Sus scrofa: one gene and its partners. The protein of the gene in region 3 purifies or fractionates together with the protein of the main gene of each other region. This does not show direct contact. Links are inferred from orthologs where the notes say so. Each region holds a gene or a part of one and is shown on either strand. Other genes may lie near its edges.

The links.
Region 1: the proteins of NOP2 (region 3) and RRS1 fractionate together in Homo sapiens (co-fractionation; 3 studies listed by BioGRID and IntAct, with this or other methods). This does not show direct contact. The link is inferred for Sus scrofa from reciprocal best matches to the Homo sapiens genes NOP2 and RRS1.
Region 2: the proteins of NOP2 (region 3) and NIP7 purify together in Homo sapiens (affinity purification with mass spectrometry; 3 studies listed by BioGRID and IntAct, with this or other methods). This does not show direct contact. The link is inferred for Sus scrofa from reciprocal best matches to the Homo sapiens genes NOP2 and NIP7.

What each region holds. Positions count from the first base shown.
Region 1 is NC_010446.5:68,284,876-68,290,440, reverse strand, and holds RRS1 (ribosome biogenesis regulatory protein homolog), read left to right. Parts: upstream 1-2,227; 5' UTR 2,228-2,352; coding exon 2,353-3,450; 3' UTR 3,451-4,638; downstream 4,639-5,565. Other genes in the region: ADHFE1 (hydroxyacid-oxoacid transhydrogenase, mitochondrial), read left to right, coding at 5,054-5,112. UniProt on the Homo sapiens protein: Involved in ribosomal large subunit assembly. May regulate the localization of the 5S RNP/5S ribonucleoprotein particle to the nucleolus.
Region 2 is NC_010448.4:17,641,971-17,647,535, forward strand, and holds NIP7 (60S ribosome subunit biogenesis protein NIP7 homolog), read right to left. Parts: upstream 3,435-5,565; 5' UTR 3,398-3,434; coding exon 3,342-3,397; intron 3,223-3,341; coding exon 3,136-3,222; intron 3,040-3,135; coding exon 2,901-3,039; intron 2,105-2,900; coding exon 1,964-2,104; intron 1,758-1,963; coding exon 1,638-1,757; 3' UTR 122-1,637; downstream 1-121.
Region 3 is NC_010447.5:64,104,126-64,109,598, forward strand, and holds the start of NOP2 (probable 28S rRNA (cytosine(4447)-C(5))-methyltransferase), read left to right. Parts: upstream 1-2,083; intron 2,084-2,372; coding exon of another isoform or gene 2,373-2,376; coding exon 2,377-2,479; intron 2,480-3,976; coding exon 3,977-4,022; intron 4,023-4,463; coding exon 4,464-4,552; intron 4,553-4,737; coding exon 4,738-4,976; intron 4,977-5,473. Other genes in the region: CHD4 (chromodomain-helicase-DNA-binding protein 4), read left to right, coding at 175-338, 522-539. UniProt on the Homo sapiens protein: S-adenosyl-L-methionine-dependent methyltransferase that specifically methylates the C(5) position of cytosine 4447 in 28S rRNA. Required for efficient rRNA processing and 60S ribosomal subunit biogenesis.

The DNA of each region.
Region 1 (5,565 bases), on a different chromosome or scaffold from region 3:
TTAGGCTTATCCTTTCAAGCAATCATGTGTTGAACTCCTAGCATGTACCTAGCAGTAGGCCCAGCAAAGGTAAGTAAAAATCAGTCTCTGGTTATCAAGGAAATTAAAATTGACTTGGATTATTTAAAAAAAAACACTTGAGCATAAAACAAAGTTCAATTATGAGCTAATCTATATGATTCAAACCAAACAGTACTGCATCCAGTGAGAATTCATACCATTCAACACCTATTGATACCTGCTCTTTTTTTTCCTAACTCAGAAGATTGACAGAGGAGCTGAATTCCACATTATTGTACTTCCTATTTAAGGCTTAATCATGTCATATTGTACATTTCTCTTAACTTCCTTTCTTCCTCACTGTTCCATAAGGTCTCAGTAATCTTTGTATCTATTGTCTGGAACATGATAGTCATTCAAATTTTTGTTAAATGAATGAATGAATGAATGAATGAATTAGAAGCTAAGTCGAGCCCAGAGCAGCCCTTTCAAGGTCCTTAATGTTCTCCTATGGCAAATCCCCAAGGCTTTAATATTCAAGGCAGTTACCTAATATGACCTTTGACCTAGCTTTGGCCCCAAAGAGTGATTGGTAAAAAAGAGTTGGTGTTGAATGTTAAGACAAAGGCTCAGAAAAACCGCAGCAAATCTTGAAAATGCTTTTGGAAAAGAGAAAAAATATTATAACCCAATTCCTGGGGCATAAAACATGCTCACTAAATGTTTAAAGAGTGAATAAACAAAGCAGAACTGAGGAAAAACAGTGAGCTCAAGAAGAGACGAAACTCAGGGGGGCAGATGTGATAGATGGGGCTGTAGCTAAAGCCCTCTTGAGCTCACCCTCAACTAAATCTATTCCAAACAGCGATATCTATATTCATGGGTTAATTCTCCAACTAATCCCTTCTTCAGTAATCCAATTAAGATAAAATAAAACCTGTAAACCACACAACCAGCAGTGCCTCCCAAACTTGACCATACTCATCACCTAGCTATCTTGTTAAAAATGAAGGTTCTAAATCTTTACATTTGGGGTGAGGCCAAAGAGTCTACATTTCTAAGGCCCAGGTCACCACACCACACTTTTCAAGTATCAAGAGCCTGTAAAACATTGCAGAGAATATTCATGTAGTCTTAAAGCCAGCGTTAAAATAAATCCTGCTCCCAGCTTCCCTAGTTGTAAAACCTTAGACGTCATTTTACCTCTCTGAGTCTTCTGTTGTCATCAGTGGAATATGATGAATTACAGTAACTAACACTTACTGAATGCTTACTATGTGCCAGTAACTAATGCTTCATATTTATTAACTTATAGGACTTATATTAAACAATCCGTCCAAAGCAGGTACAATAAACATGGATCTTATTCTAGGTCGTTTAATTCAAGAGCCTGGTGTTTAATCACTGTGTAAGATTGCCCTTCCAGCCACAGCTCCTCAAGCCATTACGAAGATTAAACAGTAATTGGTATTTAGCTCACCTTCAGAGCACTGATATCCAGACCCTAGAGTAAGCTCCCTTGGGGGCATATTAACTCATTTATCTTTATAGTGGCCCTAGGAGGTAGGTACTATTAGTACTTTCATCTTACGGGTTTTAAAATAGGGCCAAATAAGTTAAACAGTTGAAGTTCAAACACCAGCGCAGTCAAGATTGTAACCAAGGCGGTCTAACAGAAGAGCCAGTCGCTCTTTAGCCACTAGCCAGGAGAGGATGTGAGAGGATGTAGCCCGGGGCGGGGAAGACCAGGCATCGGGCGGCTGGGATGGGGTCACGGCCGTGCCCACTCAGAGCTGCCTATGGCTTCCAAAGCAAACCAAGTCTTCGTCTACACTTGGCTTTAAGTACATCCGTGGGAAGGACCTCTGTCGGCCCACACCCAGGGCCCCATGGGCTCTGGTGAAATATAATTTATCTGTTCCCAAGAAGAACTGACTTAGTAAGTATCTTGAGAACTGACTTAACTTAGTGTAACACAGTCGCTCCGAGACCCCCTTATTCTGGGGCCCCCAAAATTTTCACTGCCCCTCCCTCCCTCACGCCACTGCCTAGTGGAAGCCCCGGTGCCAGTCAAACCTTGGACTTCGTAGTGCGCGGGTTCCTCGCTCCTGCTCCGCCTACATCCGGGCTGGAGCCCAAGGGCCGTCTCTAACCCCATCTGTTCTCCAACACCGCCCTCTGCCGGCCCTTCTTCGGGTCGCCCGCGTTGTGAGCCTTTTCCGGCTGCTCCGGAAGTGGAGCTTTCTCTTCCGGGACGAGCGTCTGGGCGACTGCACGTGGCTGTGTTGCCTTGGCCTTTGCCGGCGCTACTGGAGAATTGATTGGAACTGTTACCCCGGAACAGCCGGAGCCATGGAGGGCCAGAGCGTGGAGGAGCTGTTGGCAAAGGCGGAGCGGGACGAGGCGGAAAAGCTGCAGCGCATCACCGTGCACAAGGAACTAGAGCTGGAGTTCGACCTGGGTAACCTGCTGGCCTCCGACCGGAACCCCCCGACCGGGCTGCGGCATGCGGGACCCACGAAGGAGGCCGAGCTGCGAGCCCTGGCGCGGGACAACACGCAGCTGCTCATCAACCAGCTCTGGCAGCTGCCCACCGAGCGCGTGGAGGAGACGCTGGTGGCGCGGCTGCCGGAGCCCACCACTCGACTGCCGCGCGAGAAGCCGGTGCCCCGGCCGCGCCCTCTTACACGCTGGCAGCAGTTTGCGCGTCTCAAGGGCATCCGTCCTAAGAAGAAGACCAACCTGGTGTGGGACGAGGTAAGCGGCCAGTGGCGCCGCCGCTGGGGCTACCAACGGGCCCGCGATGATACCAAGGAATGGTTGATTGAGGTGCCGAGCAATGCCGACCCCATGGAGGACCAGTTCGCCAAGCGTATTCAGGCCAAGAAGGAACGGGTAGCCAAGAACGAGCTGAACCGGCTGCGTAACCTGGCCCGCGCGCACAAGATGCAGCTGCCCAGCGCGGCCGGCATGCACCCTACCGGACATCAGAGTAAGGAAGAGCTGGGCCGCGCCATGCAGGTGGCCAAGGTCTCCACCGCCTCTGTAGGGCGCTTCCAGGAGCGCCTGCCCAAGGAGAAGGCGCCCCGGGGCTCTGGCAAGAAAAGGAAGTTTCAACCCCTTTTTGGGGACTTTGCAGCTGAGAAGAAGAGCCAGTTGGAGATGTTGCGAGTAATGAACAGCAAAAAGCCTCAGCTGGACGTGACCAGAGCCACCAATAAGCAGATGAGGGAGGAGGACCAGGAAGAAGCGGCTAAGAGGAGGAAAATGAGCCAGAAGGGCAAAAGAAAGGGAGGCCGACAGGGTCCTGGGGGTAAGAGGAAAGGTGGCCCACCCAGCCAGGGAGGGAAGAGGAAAGGGGGCGTGGGAAGCAAGATGAATTCCGGGCCGCCGGGCTTGGGTGGCAAGAGAAAAGGAGGGCAACACCAAGGAGGAAAGAGGAGGAAGTAAATTTCAGCCTCGGACTTGTTTGTAAACCAAGAACTGTACTTAATGTTGACATCTAGGCACTGTAGGGGGACACCAAAGATGTGGCCCCTGCCTTCACTGAGCTTGAAGTTAAAGGGACAGCCTTGCCCTCCTCTGAAAATAGTATGTAAATATTGCACAGGACAAATTAATGTTATTTCCCACAACCAAAACTTTGGCTGAAGATTAAAGGATGTATTTAAGGCTATACGAATTAGGGAAAGAATTTGGTCGAAATTAGGAGTGAGTTCTGTTTTTAAACAGACTTTTTTTTTCCTTGTAAACTTTGTATGTGGTGTGAGGGAGGTCATATTTCAAAGACTTTTAGCATTGTTTTGATAACAAGCTTCTGTATTTATCAAAGTGGGGGAACAAAAAGATTACAAGGTTACATTTTCAGAACTGTTGTAAAGGCCATTTAATAAAGGTATGTCTGGATCTAATATTGCTTTCAAATTTTGTAAGTTTTAAGTAAAGCCAGTGACCTGGATACGTGTTACAGATTATTTTCATTTACTTTCTAGAAGATATCCACCAGCTAACTTATGACGTTAGCAAGACCGCTTTATTAGGAAAACTCATGCTCCTTTTGATACCTGATATATTATTGAAAGTGTACAACTGGTGTCTCTTTGAACACTGAAAACATTAATTTGCTCTAGCTGATAAATTTGTGCTTCACTAAATAATGCAATCTTAATTAATCCTAATTTTATACTTAAATTTTTATCAACATTTATGTCTCCAGTTCTTTTAAAGCTTCAAGTGGGATCTGTTTGGGGAAGAGAGAAACCCACAAAAACCTTGGAACATTATTATCTTTAGATTCATTTGTCACATTGACTTGAGCTGGTTTAATTAGGAGATGAAATGTTTACAGCTATCCTGGGTTTCTTTCCTTAATTGATTTCAGTAACTCACCTTCCTAAATATCTCCTGAAAATTAACAGTAAATCTAGAATGGGGGGAGGGGGCTTTTTTCTGCTGTTAGAGCTCTAGGGAGCCACTCTACTCTTGGTTTTTGGTCTGACAATTGATAGGAAATTAGAATTGGGAGTTCGTTTTGTCTTTTTTTCAGTGTTGTTCCCTTTTTACAAAGTTGTAGAAATTGCTATGAAAGAAAGGATTAATTCAGATTTCATAATGGGTTAATAAAAATATGTTCAATTGTTACTGTCTTAAGATAACTTTCTGATAAAGAGCTGTGCCATCGATAGTGTTTCTGCTAGGACAGGGGGCAGAAGGCAACATAGCATTTTAAAGGAGTCAGAGTGGAAAAGAATGCTCTTTCTCCACATTTCCCAGGTCTCCGACTAGTGACAAAGAGGATTTACACAGAGACTTGGGGAAGTATCCTAAACAGTTACCTGCATGGCAATTTCAAAGGCGGAGGGTGAGACCCTGCAGCTGGAGCAGTCGTAGTTCCGCCTCGTGGGAGAATGGCCTGGAGCCGGAGGGCTGCTGTGGGGGGCGCGAGACCCAGCGGAGCGGGTGGGCGGGCGCGGCCGAGGGGGCGGAGGGGAAGCCAGCGGCACGGATTGGCCGGCGGTGGGGGCGGGGCCCCGAGGAGGGAAACGGTGCAGCCATGGCCGCTGCCGCTCGCGCCCGGGTAGCACACTTGCTGAGGCAACTGCAGCGCGCAGCGTGAGTACGGGGTCGGCAGGCGGGCAGGGGACAGCGCATTCTTCCCGCAGTCATTTTCAGGAACTTTGGATCGCGTTGCCGCAGTGCGCGCCCGCGGCGAGCCAGCCTAGACAGCTCCGTCCCTGTGCCAAGCAGCCAGCGCTGCGCGGTGAGGCCGCTTGTACTCTGCCAGTTCTACGTTAGGGAAAGTAAGCCCCAGAAAGGAGAGCACCCGGTCTCAGATCAGGGCGGGCAATGGAGAGCCTGGCACAGTGACCAAGACAAATGCATGTGTCCAACCAACACATACGTACTGGGTGTATGTTATCGTGCCAAAAACTATTCTAGGAGCTGAAGATAAAAAAACGAAAGACTGCAGCAGTTTAAAATCTGGCAGGGAAAATTGCATGAGGGAACAGGGTGAAACTCTGTGCAGGACCCCACGGAAAGGTTCAGAGCAATAACCAGGAGCTT
Region 2 (5,565 bases), on a different chromosome or scaffold from region 3:
GTCTCTTGACTTTCTCTATGCCTACTTAGAAATTAACAGAGAAGCTTGGACGGGAGAAGAGTTGAAAAAAATATAAAACTGGGTTTATATACTGCATACAAAAATAGGAGTTGGTAGAGTGTTTTGTAATTGAAAAATGCTTTATTTATTTATTTTGCTTTTGAGGGCTACACCCACAGCATAGCTCCCACACTAGGGGTTGAATCGGTTATACAGTTGCCGGCCTACACCACAGCCACAGCCACGCCAGATCCAAACCGCGTCTGCAACCTACAGCACAGCTCACAGCAACGCTAGATTCTTAACTCACTGCGCAAGGCCAGGGATCAAACCCACAACCTCATGGTTCCTAGTTGGATTCACTTCCGCTGCACCACAATGGGAACTCCAAAAAAAAAAAAAAGCTTTATTTTTAAGAGATGTCACCTTTAGAATTTAAAGTAAGCAATATGTTAACTTAAAAATTCATTTACAATACAGGTAGTTTAAAAGCTTTTGTCTTAATGTTTTTCATTAAAAAATATTTTAATAATTCTAAAATTAATTTTGGAAGGCATGGGGGAAGAATGGAGGAGCTGAATTATGTCAGGGTCTCTGATTAGTGCTTTTTATCTAGTCAAGTATTTATAAGGATATATATATGGGTGTGTATATACATATACCCAAATCACTTTGCTGTACACCTGAAAACTAACAAACTACTGTAAATCAACTACACTTCAATAAAAAATTTCAATTAAAACAAAACACTTAAAAGAGAAGTTGTTTTAGGAAACGAAGGTGATAAAAAGTAACATTTGGCCTGGAATCACACCATTCAAGAAAAAGAAAAATCGAGAAAACCACCTGTAAAAGCCAGGATAACATATCAAATTATAGTCATACGATGCTACTCTTAATAACAGAAATATTCAGTATAAGCATTATAAAAATAATTCTTACCATTTATTCAGTTTTGCCAGGCACTGTACTAGGTACTTTACAATCATGATTTCTAATTCTAAAAACCATGCTTAGAAAGACAGTTCTGTTTTTTTAAAACAAAAGAAGGAAATGAATCTTATTAAAGTTTAACGACTCATCTAAAGCCATACAGCTAGTAAGTGTCAGAAGCAGTGTTTGAATCCAAGTTTTTCTTCCATACCACACAGCACCTACCATAAAGAAAAGCAACAGAATACACTGCTCTTACTATTTTATCCAAATTTCATTTGTAAAATCCCCACAGTCTACTATTCTGATATGGCAATATCTATCTTTCACAGTGTTAATAAATTATTAAGGAAATCCATTATGTTTGTGTTTGGATAACAGTGTTATCATAGATAACAAAAGTACGCTATTCTTGTCCTCGGGTCCAACAATTTAGAACCTGTTACTCAAAACAAGAAGCCCTCTGATTCAAACATAAAACACAGATTTCTATTGAGTCACAATCACAAAGATCCGAAACTCCATTTTTGAGCCACTTCTGCATAATAAGAATCCAGCCTGGATTTGTCCATGATAGAATGTTAAACTAAGAAGTCCCTGAAGAGGTCAGTGTTGACAAAATTCACCATGACGGTGGAGCCTACACAGACACAGGAAAAGCTAGGCCCTTCCACACAGCCTTAAGTCCTCTCGATGACTTCGTTTTAAGTCAATGTCTCTTCATGCCGCACATATTCCCCAATGTCTGCTTGATGAAATACCACAATCGCCATGGGGTCTACTTTCCTGCAGTCTTGTGTAGACTTTGCTGCCACCCCAAAACCCTGGGATTCAAAAGAAGAGACACTGATTCACTCAAGTCATTCGATGAGCACGCATTAAGATTTGGAAATAACACAGATGAAAAAAATATAGTTCTTTGAGGACTTCAAAAGGTGCTGAGATCTTAGTCTCTCAAGTGAAGATTGAAAATACATCCTTCTTAAACAAAAAGATACTTGATTTTTTAACAGCTACCACATGTACTCACCAAAGGGATGTCTGCCATGGAGTACACCACAACTCCCTGGTACTGTGAAGTATTTTCAGTGATTCGACCAAGTCCAGATTTCAGCACATGGTTCCCATACAGGAAGGACTGCTCTGCTCCAGGCTTTATCCACACTTTATACTACAATACAAAGAATTACATCCAAGAGACATAATAAAAATAGTTAGATGCCTGCAGACAAGCTAGCTGCTGAATCTATGGTTAATTTTTTTCTTTCTTTATGAACAAAGTTTTTTTTCTTTTCTTTTTTTTGTCTTCTTAGGGCCACACCCGTAGCATATGGAAGTATCCAGGCTAGGGGCCAAATTGCAGCTGCAGCTGCCTCAGCAACGTCAGATCTGAGCTGCCTCTGCAACCTACACCACAGCTCACCACAAGGTCCAATCCTTAACCCACTGAGCCCAGGGATAGAACGTGCATCCTCATGGATACTGGTCGGGTTCCTTAACCGCTGAGCCACAACAGGAACTCCCCCATGCTGTTTATTTCATCCCTGTACTTCCTTTATCTCATAATACAAATTTCAAGGAAAAGAAAGAAAAAGGCATGCTTCCCTCAAACTGTTCAGAACTGCTAGGAGGTTCCTTCAACTCTACAATCGACCTTTCCCACGGGCAGTTTAACGGCTTTTTCTGGATCCCACTATGCTCCTCACCGCAGCCTCCTATTTACTTTTTCCTCTTGAACTAGATCAGAAAAGGCTTTTCTACTTTGCTGGAGATACTACTCCAATCACTACGCAGCCCCAACCACGCCCAAGCAGCAAGATCTAAGTAGGAACATCTCCAGGTGCTGGCACTGATCCTAGGCACCCTCAGGGACTAACGCAGGTGCCCAATTATCTGCAGTCTGATGTGGCCCTCAGCCTAGACCGCCCCCATCCCTAGAAGCGGGCTGAAAACCACTCCCCACAAACCTTGGCATAAGGTGCTAAGTAATCCAGAGCTGTGATGTGCAACCGAAACTTGTGGGTCTTCGTGAATTTTCCAAAGCACGTTCCCAGCGACATCAGCTTGTCACCAGAGATATTAGCGGCCAATTTTAAGATCTTTTCACTGAAAGGGTAAGGAAGAAGGAGGTGTCAGATAAGGGAGGCTGGTGGGACCCAGGCCTCCACCCGGGTCCATGCTGCCTACCCAGCCCCGCCTCACCTCACATAGTAAACCCGGTCGTTGTGCAGCCTGAAACAGTAGGTGCCGTCGGGCCTGTCAACCAGCAGCTGAAGATTCTCCCCGATGCTGAAAGCAGAAAAGAGGCTGGAGGCTGCGCCCGGACTCGTCCCGGCCCCGCGGCCCCGCTCTACCCACAGCCCTCCCCGCCATGCACGCACTCCCTCATCTGCCCCGGGCGTTCTTACTATTTTGCTATCTTCTCAAACATTACACGCGTCTCCTCTTCAGTCAGAGGCCGCATTTTCCCGCTGGGCTGGAACACCGGATCCTCGTGCCTCAGTCGCCGGAAACGGAAGGCCAGCCTCCCGCCTCTCCTTGGCAACCTCAAATCCGGCCTCTCTAGCTGCCTTCGCGTGGTTCGTCACGCGAGCGCCCCGCGGCCTTGGAGGACCAGCGGGGAATGCAAGCCGGCCGGGTGAGGCGCCATGGAGACCGGAAGTGCGGCGTTGCTTCCGGTCCTGGATTCCGAGCCAGCGCCCTCGCCGAGCGGGAGGCGAAGGGACGCCGCTGCTGAGAAGATGGCGGCGACGGAGACGATCCCTGCTTCAACTGCGGCCTCGGCCACGGCGACGGCCACTGCGGCTGCTCTCGGGGAGGTGGAGGATGAAGGGCTCCTGGCATCGCTGTTCCGGGACCGCTTCCCAGAGGCCCAGTGGCGGGAGCGGCCCGACGTGGGCCGCTACCTCAGGGAGTTGAGCGGCTCGGGGCTGGATCGGCTGCGGCGCGAGCCAGAGCGCCTGGCGGAGGAGCGAGCGCAGCTGCTGCAGCAGACGCGCGACTTGGCCTTCGCCAACTACAAGACCTTCATCCGCGGCGCCGAGTGCACCGAGCGCATACATCGCCTCTTTGGCGACGTGGAGGAGTCGCTCGGCCGCCTGCTCGACCGCTTGCCCAGCTTCCAGCAGAGCTGCAGGTGCGGCGGGCCCAGCGTTTAAGGGGCTTTTAAGAGCTGTGACAGCTAATATTTACGATGAGGGAAATAGCTAACACTTAGATAGCGCTTACCAGGTGCCACGCTCTCATCTGAGCATTTTATTAATCCATTTAAACGTCACAGCAGCCTTCGAGGTAGGTATTATTCCCATTTTGTATATGAGGAAGTCGAGACACAGAGGTTAGTGACTGACACAAGGCACAGCTAGTAAGTCTCGAAGTCAAAATTGGAACCCAGCAGCCTCGTAGGGCTGTCGTGAGCGCTAAGTAGAGAATCCATGCAAAGCACTTATCATTGGATCTGACATAATTAACACTCTACAGTTGTCACCTTCATACATATACACACAACACACAGGTACACACAGTAGCTTGGACCAGGGTCGTTGGCTCCAAAACTTTCATTGATAGGAGAATGCCAAGGAAATCCTCTCATTCGGGGGCAGTAAAAATTATCCAAAAAATCCAAACAAACCGTCCTATCGGAACCATATTCTTTTTTTTTTCCCCTCCCTTTTTAAGGCTGAACCCACAGCATATGGAAGTTCCCAGGCTAGGGGTCGAATTGGAGATAACAGCTGCCAGCCTATGCCACAGCATTGCAAGATCCAAGCTGTATCTGCGACCTACACCACAGATCACGGCATTTCTGGATCCCCAACCCACTGAGTGAGGCCAGGGATCAAACATGTGTCCTCGTGGATACCAGTCGAATTCCTTTCCACTGCTCCACGACAGGATCTCCTCGAGCCATATTCTGCCTCTCTCGAACCTCAATCCACAAATTCTGCTTTCCAACCTCACATGATAAAAGTTTCAAGTTTTCTTTGTCTTTGCACATTTGACCATGGCTTCTGTACTCTTCCAATACCCTACAAAAGACAGGGAGCTTCATAAAGCAGGACTTTACAGTTATGGGGAAGAAATGGAGACTGCAGCAGGAACTAAGGATGGACAGTGGCATAGGAGAAGATTAAGAGGCTGAGGGAACTTGGGGTTAAGGTTGTAGTTTCTAGGTTAGGCAGGCATTATGAAAAGAAGAATAGCTGTCATTGGAGGTGCCATTGTGGCTCAGTAGAAATGAATCTGACTAGCATCCATGAGGACGCAGGTTTGATCCCTCGCCTCCCTCAGTGGGTTAAGGATCCAGTGTTGCCATGAGCTGTGGTGTAGGTCGCAGACGTGGCTCAGATCTGGTGTTGCTGTGGCTGTGGTGTAGGCCAGTGGCTGCAACTCCAATTGAACCCCTACTCTGGGAACCTCCATGTACTGTGGGTGCGGCTCTAAAAAGACAAAAAAGGAAAAAAAAAAAAGAGCAGCTATTATTAGAGGAACATTTACTCTGTGTTGGGTTCTGCATTAAATGTTTTATATACATGATCTAATTTAATCCTCACATCCTTATGAGGTGGGTCTTATTACTATTTTACCAATGAGGAAACTAAAGACTACCTTGTTACAGCTTGTTCAGTGACA
Region 3 (5,473 bases):
GAATATGAGGAATAGGAATTTGAGCGTGGTGGAGCCAGGTCAGGTGACTGACAAGACAGCACTCCAGCACGTCACTTGATCATTGAGAAGTGATGGGAAAGCCGGTCCACATATTATAAGATGGGCCTAGGTCTTGACCACCACGGCTCACCGCCTTTTTTCCCCCCCATGCAGTTCTGAAACAGCTAGAAGAACTGCTGAGTGACATGAAAGCCGATGTGACTCGACTCCCAGCTACTATTGCCCGAATTCCCCCAGTTGCTGTGAGGCTACAGATGTCCGAGCGTAACATTCTCAGCCGCCTGGCAAACCGGGCACCTGAACCGACTCCACAGCAGGTATAGGACCATTTTCCTCTGGCCATCTGTTCCAGCAGAGCCACTCTGGAACTTGTAACGTTGCTGTCTGTCCCTGGCTTTACACATTGGGCAGGTGGGGCTGGTCCACCAGTGAGTTCCTTTGGGGTCAGGAGGGTTCCTGGGGTCTGACATTCTGACCCTCTTGGCTCTCTCTTTCTCTAGGTAGCCCAGCAGCAGTGAAGATCCAGATGGATGATACCACGTCCACCGCTGAGCAGTGACCTTCCTCACTTTCCCTTGCCCAGCTTCTCCCCTGGGGGCCTGAGAGACCCTCTCCTCCCTTCTGCCCCATCTTCCAAGCTGTAGAGGAACAGCCCCCAGTGCACTGGGGGAGGGGAGGGAGTGAGGGGCAGTGGTGCCCTTCCTGCTGGAGAGACATGCAGCAGTAGCGCCGGCGCCATCTGCAGGGAGCTGGCGGGCTGGCCTTTTGGGCCCTGGCTTCTCCCCACTGTAACGTCTGTTACACACAAACTGTTGTGGGTTCCCGCCAGGCTTGAAGAAAATGATCTGAATTTCTTCCTCCTTTTGGTTTTATTTTGTTGGTTTATTTTGTGTTTTCATTTCTCCTTTTTGGGGGGTATTCACAGTGGGCCGGGCCCCTGGGCGAGACACAGCTACCTCTGTTGGCATCTTTTTAATACCAGGAACCCAGCGGCTCCAGCCCCTGAGCGGCTAGAATGAAATAAAGTTGGAAAAAAAAAAAAAAAAAAAAAGGAAAAGAACCAAAAGCATAAAAAACCACAGCAAATTTCTTGACAAAAATTGAAAATAAAAGTTTCCTTGTATTTTAGTGCTCTGGTTCAGTGTGGGTGTAGGTGCAGGTGGGTGTGTCCGACGGGAGCCTTGGGACAGTGCAGCTGAAGACCAAGGGTTTCCTTGTGTCCTGAGACTCCACGAAATCTGGACTGTGCACCTACCCTCGTGCTCCGGCCGCCACCACCTGCACGCTGCGAGGAGCTCCGGAGCCCCCTGGGTTCACAGCCTAAGCCTGACTCCCAGCTTCGCGGCCGTCTCCAGGCTGTAGATGTCTGCTGTAGAGAATCAAAGGAGAATCTTCCTCGCAACATTGCGAAGACAAACCAGCGAAGTGCCGGAGCAGTTTTGAACAGCTGCTAAGCACCACCTTAGGGTTTATTTCAAGAAAGGCTGCTCTGGGTTTTCTGTTTGTGTGAAGTGAGAACACAAGATGCCGTCCTCCCGACCTCTCGTATGGGAACCAAGGCAGAGAGTTCCCTTACCTGAGGGGCAGCGCGGGGTATGGTGTCAAGGAAGAAGGTTTCAAAGTCACAGGACTTGGGAGTGGGTGCGACCTTGAGACGTGGGGCGAAAGAGGGTCCGGCTCTGACGCCTCCGTCCGAAGGGAGGGGCCGTCTTTTGGGTACCAGTTTTTCGGACGAAATCCGCCATAAGGCGTAAGGCCCACATCTGGAGGGAAGGGCGGGGAAGCTAAAGGCGTCCCCCTACGCGCCGCCTTCTCCACCTGGGAGAGAGCAGAGCGGTCCTCCCCGGCCGCCCTCTGCACCGCCTGCCCCGCGCGGCCGCGCGAATGAAACTTCCGGCTTCCGCGGCGGACGGGAAGCCCGGAAGAGGCGGGGCCTCAGCGGGCGCGCTGTGCGCTTGCGCGAGACGTTCCCGTGGTGTGGCGTCGGAGCGCCAGCCCCGCACCACACGTGGAGTGCTGTCGCTGCTTCCTAGGGCCTTCTCGGGACTGGACCCGCTTCCAGGTGAGCTGCAGCTTCGGGCGGGTCTTCTGCAGGAAGTCGAGGAAGGAAGGGTGAGGCGTCCACTTGGACCGGGGCGTGGGAAGGGGACGTTGTACCAGCGGTGTGGGACCCAGGGCCCGGGGCTCAGCGTGTAGTGGAGGTGTGGCCAGGCCTCGAGGGGCAGTGGGGCTGCTGAGTCGAGGTTCTCGTCAAGGCAGTGCCCTTTTCCACTTCAACTTGCTTCGTCTGCTCTCTGCCTTTCCCGGACAACACGCGCCACTCTACTGTCTCTCGTTTTTGTTTTCCTCAGTACCATGGGGCGCAAATTGGACCCTACGAAGGAGAAACGCGGGCCGGGCCGAAAGGCCCGAAAGCAGAAAGGTGCTGAGACCGAACTCGTCAGATTCTTGCCTGCAGGTAAGGGTCAGGCGTGCCCGTCCCCTTCCGATTCTCTAGCTTTTGCGCCGTTCTTCCATCTGTAGTGTAATCCCTCAGTTTTTTAGATTGTGTGTTCATGAGTTATTAGGAAGTAAATATGAATGGAACAATCTCATAAACGTTTAGAAATTAGGGAAGATGTGACGGGCACAAGTTCCCATGCAAGGAGATGTGTGGTTTAATGTTTAGGGCCTTCAGAGGAAGCAGGATTCCACGGAGTTGCCAAGTTTGAAAAGATTTTGTGACTTTTTTTTTTTTTTTTTGGCCGTCTCGGCAGCATGTGGAAGTTCCCAGGCCAGGGAGCGAATCCAAACTGGAGCTGTGACCTACCATACTGATCGTTAAGCGACTGCACCACAGCAGGAACTTCCAAGAAGTTGGGTTTTGCACTAAGCTCTTCTTAGATGACCTGCTTCTGTGTGGGGGTTTCATAGGTAGCCATGCAGCTCCCTTGGTGTGATCTATTGAAAATCAGCCCTGGACACAAAAGATTGTAAGACAAAAAAAGAAGAGAAGGAGAAAAAAGAAGTTGGGTTTTGAGAAGTGGGTGACATTTTAGCAGGTGGAAGTTGGGAACGGGACAGTCCAGTCACTGTGAACTGCATTGTAGAGGAGATGGGAAGGCACAGAGCTGGCTCCCACTTGGTCAGGAGTCTACTGCAGGTAGTTTGTGTTGAGTATTGTCTAAAAGATGCAGTTTATTGAAGTATAGGTAAGTGGTAAATACAATGCTGAACCCGCTGGACACATTATATCACTTCATTCTCTGTGTCCTGTGAGAGAGGCACTGCCGAGGAAATGGATGCTGAGAGGTTAATTTGTATAGTTATAAAATGATAGTGCTTTATGGAGTTCCAGTCTTGGTGCAGTGGAAATGAATCCGACTGGGAACCATGAGATTGCGGGTTCGATCCCTGGCCTTGCTCAGTGGGTTAAGGATCCGGTGCTGCCCTAAGCTGTGGTGTAGTTTGCAGACATGGCTAGGATCTGGCGTTGCTGTGGCTGTGGTGTAGGCTGGCAGCAACAGCTCTGATTGGACCCCTAGCCTGGGAACCTCCATAAGCCGCCTCCGGTGCAGCCCTAAAAAAAGGACAAAAGGAAAAAAAAAAAAAATAGGAGGGCTTTAAACTTTCTATTTCTTGGAGAATATAGGAAAAGCAGTAGTTTTGAAATCTGTGGTTGGCAACTGATTAGATAAAAGAAAGGGCAGAAGAAAGATTTGAAAGTTTCAGAATGGCGATGATGCTATTTTTTGAAATCAGTCTGGAGGGAGGCCCAGTTTGGATTTGGTTGATGAGCAGCCAGATGGCGATCAGCTCCTTTACATCTCTTTACCCGGCTCCCTGTAGAGCACAGTGGAGTGAGTTACAATCTCTTCCCTTTAACTACTGTCCTAATTCTCTGCCCTTTTATTTTCTCTCCTGCTTTTTATTTTCTCATAACCTCCTCTCTTCCTTTTTTTGATTTTTTAAACAGCTGGTGATGAAAATTCCAAGAGGCTGTCCAGTCGTGCTCGAAAGAGGTGAGTGTAGGAGTCCTGTCGTGGTTCAGTGGAAACGAATCCTACTAGCATCCTTAAGGATGCAGGTTCAATCCTTGGACTCGCTCAGTGGGTTAAGGATCCAGTGTTGCCATGAGCTGTGGCATAGGTTGCAGACGAGGCTCGGATCTGGCGTGGCTGTGGCTGTGGTGTATGCCGGTGGCTACAGCCATGTGCCTCAGGTGCGGCCCTAAAAAGACCAAAAAAAAAAAAAAAAAAAAAAAGGAAAGAAAGAGGTGAGTGTGAATGTCCACATTTATGTTACACAGGCAGATTAAATTGGTCCTGCTCATCTTTGGGCACATGATCCCATGTGACCCTGCTGATGGAAAGGGCTCTTTGGGGACTGTCATGGTTCCCTGCAGTGGGAAGTGGCAGAGCCTGGAGGGGTATTCCATTTCCTTACTCCTTATGTCTTTTCAGGGCAGCCAAGAGGAGGTTGGGCTCTGCTGAAGTCCGTGAGACAAATAAATCCCCTGGGGCCAGACCATTGCCTGGAAAGCTACCAAAAGGTCAGTGAAAATAGGAGCTGGGTGCTATGTGAGGAGTACACTGGGTCCTGGGTAGGGAAGAGCTTGCTGATCATTTCTGGAGTGAAAGGAACAGCCAAAGGACATTTGTGGGGGTAGAGAGTACAGGCCTCATTAATGTGTGACTGCTCTCAGCCCGGTATTCAAACCCTTTGGGATCTCTGCAGGAGCCGTCCAGACACCGAGTAAGAAGGGAGCCCTGTCCTTATTTAATGCTGCTCAAGGCAAGAAGCGCCCAGCATCAGCCTATAGCAGTGAGGAGGAGGGAGAGGAGGAAGACTCTGAAGAGGGTGGTGTGGTGAACGAGGGGGACCTCTGGGGCTCTGAGGACAGTGATGCCGATATGGTAGATGACTATGGAGCCAACTCCAGTTCAGAGGACGAAGAAGAGGATGACAGTGAAGAGGTGAGCTCTGTCTCTCTGGGTCTCCAGGAAGCGATCTTTGCCTTTTTGAGTCTTTCCAGATCGTTGAGACTGACTGTCCCTTGGTGACGAGGATAAGCCTGTGTAGAGGACAAGGATTTTATTTGGTATCTGTGAACCTCAAAAAGATTTTTTCTTTGGGGAGTTGCCGTTGTGGCTCAGTGGTTAACTAATCCGACTAGGAACCAGAGGTTGCGGGTTCGATCCCTGGCCTTGCTCAGTGGGTTAAGGATCTGATGTTGCCATGAGCTGTGGTGTAGGTTGCAGACGCGGCTCGGATCCTGTGTTGCTGTGGCTCCGGCGTAGGCCGGCAGCTGTAGCTCTGATTTGACCCCTGGCCTGGGAACCTCCATATGCCGTGGGAACAGCCCAAGAAATGTCAAACAGACAAAAAAAAAAGATTTTTTTCTTTTGACTTGGTGATTCTGTCCTAGGAAGAGGATCCAAAACGTAGACAACGATTTATTTACTGAAGTAGG